Linked DNA regions of Macaca fascicularis. The protein of the gene in region 1 interacts with the protein of each later gene in a pairwise test. Links are inferred from orthologs where the notes say so. Each region holds a gene or a part of one and is shown on either strand. Other genes may lie near its edges.

Region 1 (4,559 bases):
GGAGGTTGCCCAGGCTCCGTGGTGCCAGCTCTCAGACCCTCACCACAGCCTGGGGGTCTAGGGAGAGGGGCCAAGGTTCTGACTGAGAACCTGAAACCCCAGCCCCTGCCTGTCCCTTAGGAGGGGTCCTGAGAGGGTGTCTCCCTAGCAGGGCCTGCTCCTGCCTCTGGACCCGGCTCTGTCCAGGGCTTCTACCCCAACCCCAAGCTTACAGCAGGGCTGGGAGGGGGTCTAGGGTCATTGAGGAGGGGGCTGCAGCAACTTCTGGCCCCTCCTCCCAGGCTGGGCCCCAGATGAGGCCCCCACAGAAGGTTCCGAGACACCCCCATCCGCTCACTCCCTGGGAAGCCGGAAGCCTGGGTTCCTCTTTCTCGGTTTCCGGCTCCCAGCCCCTCCCAAAGGGGCCCCAAGAGTCTGGGGCTACCAACTGTGCGTGCGGGTGGTGGCCAGACTTGCTTCTAGGGCGTCTGGGGTGGGGAGTGGGCAGAGCAGCTCCCACCAAGAGTCCAGGTCTGTCTGCGGGTCCCAGAGGTCTCAGCCAGGGGCAGCAGGTTAGACCTGCCGCAGTGAGGTTTTAAGTGGGACTCAGGGCTGGACTCTCTGAGGGTGTGGGGAGGGGGGCAGGGCCCTGGTGAGGAGGGACGTGCCCCCCAAACATGGTTCTTTGGTCCTGCTACCTCCCTCCCAAGACTTCCCTCCCTCCTTGCCCACTGCCTCTAGGCTGTGAAACCGCTGTGGAACCAAGGCCGTACCACACAGTGCGCCAGCCAGGGAAGTGGGGGTGGCAGTGGGTGGAGGCACCCTCCTCCCCAGTCAAAGCCTCAGAGTCCCTGAGGGGTGTGGTGTGGTGCGTGTACCTCCCAGCGTTTGGTTGCACCATCGGCAGGGGAGGTGCACCAGGAGCGCCAAAGCTGTGGGTGGCCCTCGTGCCACCTAAGATACCACTTTGAACCCCAGGTCTCCTTGGGCAATGGCACAGGGGGGCCAATCAGTGCCCCGGAGGCAGTTGTGAACACCTGCGCCCACCTCTGCCCTCTGGGCCTCCATGCATGTCCACCACCCTCCTCCCTGGCCAGGAAGCTCACAACTTGGTTCTACTTTATTTTCTCAATCTTCATCCCCCCCGCCACGCCTCCCTTAGCTTGTGGCCTTTGAATGCTTGTTTCTGTCTGGTTGGTCTCTCTTGGCCTTCTGGGACGGTGTGTGAATGGCGCTCAGAGGAGACAGTGCTGGAGTTCTGCACTCTCAGGGCCCCCAATACCCCTGAGGCCTGGGCATGCAGAGGCCACTGCCCTGGCCCAAGTCTGGGGCAGGTGCAGCATCCCCCGGGACCTCGGCCCCTCACCGCCTGCCCAGCTTCCTCTGAGACTGTGGGTCCCACAGGTTCCTAGCAAGTAGATGAGGAGACAGAAGGTGGCCCCGCAGCTGGGCTTGCTTTCAGGGGTCAAGTTTCTAGGGAAAGGAAGGGGCGTGGCAACCTGAGGTTTGGTAGCTGTGCCCAGACGGGGCTGTCTGTGACTTCCCCAGGCAGCAGTTCTTCCTCCTCTCTGCCCCCACCCAGGGTCCTCCCCCACACTCTAGCACCCCGGAGACTGTCCCTCCTGGGCTACCATGTCCACCCCAGCTCTGAACTGGAGGAGGGGACATGTTTAGGGGTGCCAGGCCGGGGTGCTAGGGGCTGCATTTGCTGCAGAGGAGGGAGCCAGCCCCTTCTTTCCCAGCTTCAGGCCCTGGACCGGGTCACCTGTCCCTGGACTGGGCTTCCTGTACCCTTCTCAGGTCAGCTGGGGCAACCCATGTCCCCAGGCTACACCCCCTTCTCTCCTGGAGGATACAGAGTCTCAACTAGGGTCCTCCTGCTTGTCATCCTGGGATTGGGGACCCCCCTTCCCCAGCCTCCCAGGCTTTGGCCCCCAAGTCTGGGATGGGAGAGTCTGGACAGGCGGCACGTCTGGTCTCTGGGGATAGAGGCTCCCTTGGGAGTGGCTGCTGCTTTGCTCCACAGAAGGAAAAAGAACGTCCCAGAGCCTGCCCAGTCCAAAAAAAGAATAAGAAAATGTGACAATCCCAGAAAAAAATGTCATAACCTTTGGGAGGGGTTGAAGAGGGGCTCCATTCTCAGTTCTTAGCGCCCACCCAGGGCCTTTCCCATCTGCCACCCTCCACATCTGGCTGGTGGATGAGCCCTGGCCTGGCCCCTCCAAGGAAGGCCAGCTCTCCCCACCTCTGAAATGGTGGTGGTGACCCACCCACCACGCTCCTCTGGCTGCTGTTAGGGTCCCGCCTGGAGGAGCCTGTGTCCTCCTCCAGGTGCCTCTTTCTCCAGCCTCTGACGCCCCCACCCCTACCTCAATGCTCCCTACTCACCAGCGACCCAAAGGCAGGGTGGGGGCAGGAGGGGCCAGGTTGGGTCTGGGCCCCACCCTGGCTGCCGAAGGGGCGTGCACTGCAGCAGCAGGGACTCAAGTCAGACGGCAGGAGGGACTCCTGCGGCGCTCTGGAGGGAGGCTAGCGCCAGGAGCCCCCGATCGGCTGGGGCCGGGGGCGCAGCGCCTCCCCTACAGCTCGAAGGGCTGAGTGGCTGCCAGATCCAGCGGGGTGGGGGCGGGGGCGGACAGGGTGTCCCGCCCCGGCCCCTCCTCACCGGGCTGGCGGGGGGGAGGGAGACGCGGAAACCTGGGTTCTTCCGGCCCCCACCTTTAAGCAATCACTTCCCCAGGCTTTGAGCTCCACAAAAAGGGGAACCCGGCTGCAGCGCCCCCTCCCCCAAGCGCGGGGGGCGGGCTCCAGTTCCACTGCGGCCCAGGGTCCACGTGGACCTGGCGGCGGGAGTCCTTGGGGTTCGAGTCCCGTGCGCCGGCTCCCGAAGCTCCCGCCCCGCACGGTCCCCGGGCCCGGGCCGGGAGGGGCAGGGCCGCTGTCCCCGGCGCGGCGCGCGCGCACTCACCAGCCGCGCTCCCGAGCCACTCGCGCCGCCGCCGGCCCGCGCGCTCCAAGGTCCGGCCCGACAGTCGGGGAGGGGGCGCGGGGGCGCAGTGCGCAGGCGCCTCGGCAGCACTTCCCCAAAGCCAGGGGCCGGGACTTCCTCGCGCCGGGAGGCGCCGGGCCCGCCCCGCCCGCCGCGCCCCGCCCCGCCCCGCGCTCGGCCGGCTCCACACCCCACCCGCCCCGCCCGCGCTCGGCCCCCACAGTCGCTTGGGGGTGGCCCGGAGGGTTGAGGTGCTCGTAGTGGAGCCCTGGCCCCCGGGCCGACGGAGCTGCACGGTAGTAGATGGGGGTGTGGCCGTGGCCCCCGACTCTGCTCGGCGGGGCCGTTCCTGCCTTGCTGTTCGTGTGGGACTTGCACGACACTCCAGTGTGGAGGCAGGAGAGCGGGGCCCCATATGCTGCTTGCCCTGCTTGGGAAAGAGGCGGCTGCTGGAAAGGACCGATCGGCGGGCACGCCAGCCCGGCCCACCCCTCGCCTCCGTGAGCTTCGTCTGTAAAACTGGGTTAAGAGCCTGTCGTGCTGTGGGGGGTTCCCAAGGAAGGGGGAGATTCCTGTGCTGCGGGGCTGGGGAGAACTGGGGGTGCGGGTTCGTGCACCCGGAGTCATGTCGAATGTCTCCTGCGGGGCCTGGCAGAGTCCCTGCTGACCCGTGTGTCCCAAGATGTCTTACGGCTTAAAGCCACACTGTCCCCTTTGGCTGACTCTTCTCATCCTTTATGACTCGGTACAGATGTGGGCCAGGCTTCTCATCGCAGCATGCTTTGGCCCAGTGTCGGTGGCCCTGACCCTGCTCCGGAAGTGTCTGCAGAGCATCTGTGCCCCCCGCCCTCCCCGGGCCCAGCTGTGTGCAGCTCCCGTCCTACCCAGCACAAGCACTCGACCCGGATAGCTCCCAATGTCGGGGTCCTGTTCATCAAATGCCTTCCAATTGCACAGGTCAGGTGCACACCTTACACCTTCACAGAACTCTGAGGGGTGGAAAGGGAGATTTTACTTGTGTTCCTCATTCAATGGACAAGTATCAGTATCTGGGTGCCCCTGTGGGCCAGGCAGTGGGACCAGAAGCCAGCAACATAGATGGGCCTGGATCTGATGCTAGGGGCATAGAGTGAGTTGTGGGGAGCAGGCAGGGAAGGCCTGAGTGAGAGGCGGGAGGGCTGAGAGGGGAGGGTGTTGCACTGCCGAGGGGGGTGAGGGCCTGAAGGGGGAGGTCAGAGGTCAGAGGTCAGAGGGCCCTGGAGGACAGACTGCCTCTCGCAGCTGTACCCAGAGGTCTGGCCGACTTGACTGCAGAACCCTGTGACTGCCATGTTATCAGGCCAGGCAAGCAAAGGCAGGGGCCAGGAAGTCCACAGGGACAAGAGGCAGGCTGCTGCTTATTCAGCCCAAATAACACTCCTGGGAGGTGGGCACAGGTGAGGTCAGGGAAGCTCAATGAAGATGGGCCAGCACCTGGTCCAGGCCACACACAACCACCTGACCCCGCTGAGCCCGCCTGTTGTCTCCGCTGTGGGAAAATGCAGGTGTGGGCAGTTGGCAGTGGGTGAAGGTCAGTGCCCTCCCTGCCCCC
Region 2 (3,942 bases), about 91 Mb from region 1:
TCAGCAGCAGTGAGAGTGCCTTTGCCGCCACACAATTAAGTCTTCTGAGGCTAGCGTGGGACAGACAGCACAGGGCTGCCTTCCCTGCCTCCAGAGGAGGAAGCTGCACACATGTGTTCACACACAAGATGACTAAATTCAGCATTCCTAAATTGCTATATTCAGCATTCCTGTCCTACTGGCCTCTCTGCGGGGGCCCTGGGCAGCCCTGTCAAGTCCATCCAGTTACCTGCAAATTCCTGGAATTGTTCTAGAAGCTCCTGAGGTCCAGACTGAGCCCCACCCACACTCCTGCATCGGGTTCCAGCCACTCTGGTGGGGCCTCCAGGTCTCTGAGGTTCCTCCTGAGACTAGAAAACAAAAGGCCTGAGAGGCTGGGGACAGAGGGAAGAATCCATTCCTGGTGTCCCAAACCCACAGTTGCATGCCAGGTCCCTGCAACAGTCCAGGCGACAGGCACAGAGCGCAGCAGCTCACCCTGCTCAGCACAGACTGCACACCCCACGAGGGCAGGCCCTGTTCTCGCTGCATCAACCTGGGCCTTGGCCAAAGCCAAGTGTGTGTTGGGTGGGGAGGGCAGGAACACCACAAAGATGAGTAACAAACAGTTCCTTCAGAGGGAGAGCAAAACATCCCCAGAAATGAGGGGGCTGACCTAGGGCAGAAAGTGACACCAGCTTCCGAGGGGGAGAAATTATGCCTTATTCACCTCCTGTCTCAGAAAATCAACGTCTGTTAGAGGAACACACAGGAAGACTTTTAAACCAGATGCCAGCATCTTCTCATTCCTAGAGAATGAGGCTTGCTTAAGGCGCATATTTTATCCAAGCACCGCCAGGCCATCCACACCCCCACTGCACCCCCTAGATGGATGCTCCCAGGCTGCCACGATTACTGCTCTCAAACATCCACATCCCAGAGGCACAGAGTCACCAGCTAAGCATCATCCCCAAAACAGGCAACTCAATCCTAACAAGGGGGTTGCCTGGGTGGTTACCCGGTGCCCTGGCTGTGCCCAAGGGAGAAGTGCCTGGAAGCACAGACTCAGACTGCAAGGAGCCTTCCCCAGTCTTTTAAGCTAGCCCTTCTCCAGGCCCACCCCAGCTCATGGGGTCATGGAACTGCTTCGCTTTTACAGATGAGGAAGCTGTGGTTTCCACCACAGCCACAGCTAACCAGCAGCGAGGTCATTCCACTTCCAAGCTCCCTCAGCTCCGTGCAGCCCCCACCCGCCTTTCCCGCCATACCTCCCACTCCTCCCCAGGCTTGCCGGTGCTCCCATTAGACCTAACCGCCCAAGTGCCTTGGTCCATTCTCTCCTCTCTGCCCACAATGCCCAGCTTAGCTGTGCCCATGTCCTTCAAGCTCCAGTTCAAATGTCATGTTGTCCACGGGCTCACCTGACCCCCCAGCGCAGGGCACCACTCTAAGGTCCCTACCAAGGCCCCTGCACCTGCACTCAGGCTGGGTTGGCCGAGTAGAGACGTGTTCCCCTATGGGGTGGAGAATCAGTTCTGGGAGGGGAGGCCCAGTCCACTCCCACCCGGTGCACCCCAGCACCAGGCCCTCGGGGAGTGAGCACTCAGTAAATATTTGCTTAATTGAATTTGGCCAAGGAGCCTTCTCCAGAGAGCTCAATCCCCAGGGCAGGGAAATCACTTGGGCAGAAAGGAGCCGGTCAGGGGCTGAGCTGTCTCCCCAAGCAAGACAGACCTCTCTACCAGGCGGGTCCCTCCACCTCAACACGGACTCCGTGGAACACTGGTCTTGCTTGGCATCGTCCTCTTGTCTCAGTAACAGGAGCCCCAATTCTCGGCCTAGGCCGAATCCTGCCATCATCACCCAGAAAGGCTCAGCACCGCCCTAAAGGCAGAGCCCCCTCGGATCGCCCGCAGGATACGGAGCGCCTGCCCTGAGGCCCTCACTCCCCTCCCCCAAACACCCCCACCGCCTTTTAAGGGAAAAAATATTGAGCCGGGAACGTATTACAATCGCAGCAGGTCGATACTCATCTCTTGCTCTAAATGCCTGTGAGGAACCTGCTCGCTTCAAGAGCAGTGACCGAGAACTACTAGCCGTCCGTCTCCGGGCCCAGGTCCTCGGGCCCAGGCCTCTGGGGCCCTTTCCTTGGTTTCGGGAAAGGCCCTGCATCGGCTCCGGCCGCCCCTCCCTGATCCCCCTCTAGGGAGACCCGCCTCAGCGCCGCTCCCGCAGCTCGCCTTGCCCGCCCAGGCTCCCCACCAGCCGCTGCTCGGGGTCGCCCGGCAGCCCCGCGCGGCATCCCCGGCGCCCTCTGTCCATCGTCCCGGGTCCGCAGCCGCCCCCTCCCGCGGGGTCATGGGCTTGGCGGCGCCTCCCTCCCCCAGCACCTGCCCGACCAGAGGCCGCCCCCTGCCCACCTCGCAGACGTCCCCGCCCTTGGTGTCCCCCACCCCTGACGGGCATCCCTGACGCTGCGTCCTGGCGGATTCGGGGCACAAAGGCCCGGGAGGAGTACCAAGTGAGGGCAAGGTGGACGCCCCGGTCATGCTCCCGACCCCCGAGGCTCAGCGGCGCGCGCCCGGCCGCGGGTCGGCTCACTCACCTCCGGGCCGCCGCACAGAGCATCTGCTGAGCTGCTCCTGGCAGGGCGGGGCGGGGCGGGGCGGCGAGCGCGGGGCCGCGGCGCCCTCGTTCCGTACGACGCGGGCGGCGGCGCCCACGCGGGGACGTGACCGGACCGCGGGCGGCGCACACGCTCCGGCCGGCCTGGCTCCCTCCGCCCGCCCTCCCGCGCCGCCCGCCGCCAGCCCGCTGGTCCGCCCGCCCCGCGCCGCGCCGCCGCCGGCAGGGGGCGGAGCCGCGAGCGCAGCCCGTTGCCAGGCCAACCGCGGGCGGGGGGTGCCGCGCGCCCGCCGGGCACCACGCGCCGGGCACCTCCGCCCCGCCACGAGCTCCGACCCTCTGTCCATTGGGCACAAGCAGCTGACGGACGGGCCAACAGTCCAATGGGGACGGACAGGGGCGGGGTCGCGGCTCCGCGCGCGCCGCGGTCCCGCACGCGCTCCCCGCGCCGGCGTCCCAGTGACTCCGCTGCGCTGAGGCCTGGTAGCCGAGCCCGAGGGGCTACTTCTGGCAGCCCGGGAAAACGAGCCTGAGCCCAGTCATGGCCCTGGCCCTCTTAACTGCAGCCAGTCGTCCCGGCTCACCTTCTCTCCACTCGGGTTCAAACCCAGCTCGGCCTCTTGTGAGCTCTGCGTCCTTGGGCAACCGACTGACCTCTTCCAGCCTTTCTGTTTGCAAAGTGGGGCTAGTGGCACCTGCTTTCCTGGATTGTCTCACCAATCCTTCAGAACGTGTGAAAGGCCTATGCAAACCCTAACGATTTACAACGGTGAGGTTTGTGCCGCGATGGGAGGGGGCATTAGTCATCTCTGCTGCTCCAGTGTGTAGGGGCTCTTTGGCGTCCCTGGCAATCCTGGCACACGGAAAGGTGGACTTGGGAGGGAAGGAAGGGAGAAGGACCAAGGAGCTGGCCCCCAGCCCAGAAAAAAGTGAGGGAGCCAGTTCAGTTAAGGCCATTGGCGCTGTTGGGAAGCTCGTGGAAAGCATCAGACCCTCAGCAGAATGCAGCTGAACCCAGGCTGCAAAATTCTGCTTTCAATTTCAAAGCCTGTCTGTGGACCTCAGGGCCAGGAGCCCCCTCACTTCCATGCTTAAAAGACTCTCAAGCCAGAGGGCCAAGACGTGAATGCTGCTCTCTGTCTTCTCCATCTTTGTAACCTGAAGCTTTGTGTATCCTAGAGCATCCCTGGCAAAGTGCAGATGCCTTCCCAGCTAACACCTTCCTTATCACCTTACACCTCTGTGGTCAAATTATGTGGATCGTGCCATTCTTTGAGCAGCAGCCCTGGACCTGACCATGGCAGAGGTCAATAGAGTGGTCTCTCCATCGTAGCTCTG

The links.
Region 2: the proteins of RGS19 (region 1) and GNAZ interact in a two-hybrid assay, tested with the Homo sapiens proteins (2 studies listed by BioGRID). The link is inferred for Macaca fascicularis from reciprocal best matches to the Homo sapiens genes RGS19 and GNAZ.

The regions. Positions count from the first base shown.
Region 1 is NC_088384.1:120,217,551-120,222,109, forward strand, and holds the start of RGS19 (regulator of G-protein signaling 19), read right to left. Parts: upstream 3,014-4,559; 5' UTR 2,948-3,013; exon of another isoform or gene 2,368-2,947; intron 351-2,367; exon of another isoform or gene 213-350; intron 58-212; 5' UTR 1-57. Other genes in the region: protein LKAAEAR1, read right to left, coding at 3,940-3,957. UniProt on the Homo sapiens protein: Inhibits signal transduction by increasing the GTPase activity of G protein alpha subunits thereby driving them into their inactive GDP-bound form. Binds to G-alpha subfamily 1 members, with the order G(i)a3 > G(i)a1 > G(o)a >> G(z)a/G(i)a2.
Region 2 is NC_088384.1:29,632,000-29,635,941, forward strand, and holds the start of GNAZ (guanine nucleotide-binding protein G(z) subunit alpha), read right to left. Parts: upstream 2,801-3,942; 5' UTR 2,585-2,800; intron 351-2,584; exon of another isoform or gene 230-350; intron 1-229. UniProt on the Homo sapiens protein: Guanine nucleotide-binding proteins (G proteins) are involved as modulators or transducers in various transmembrane signaling systems.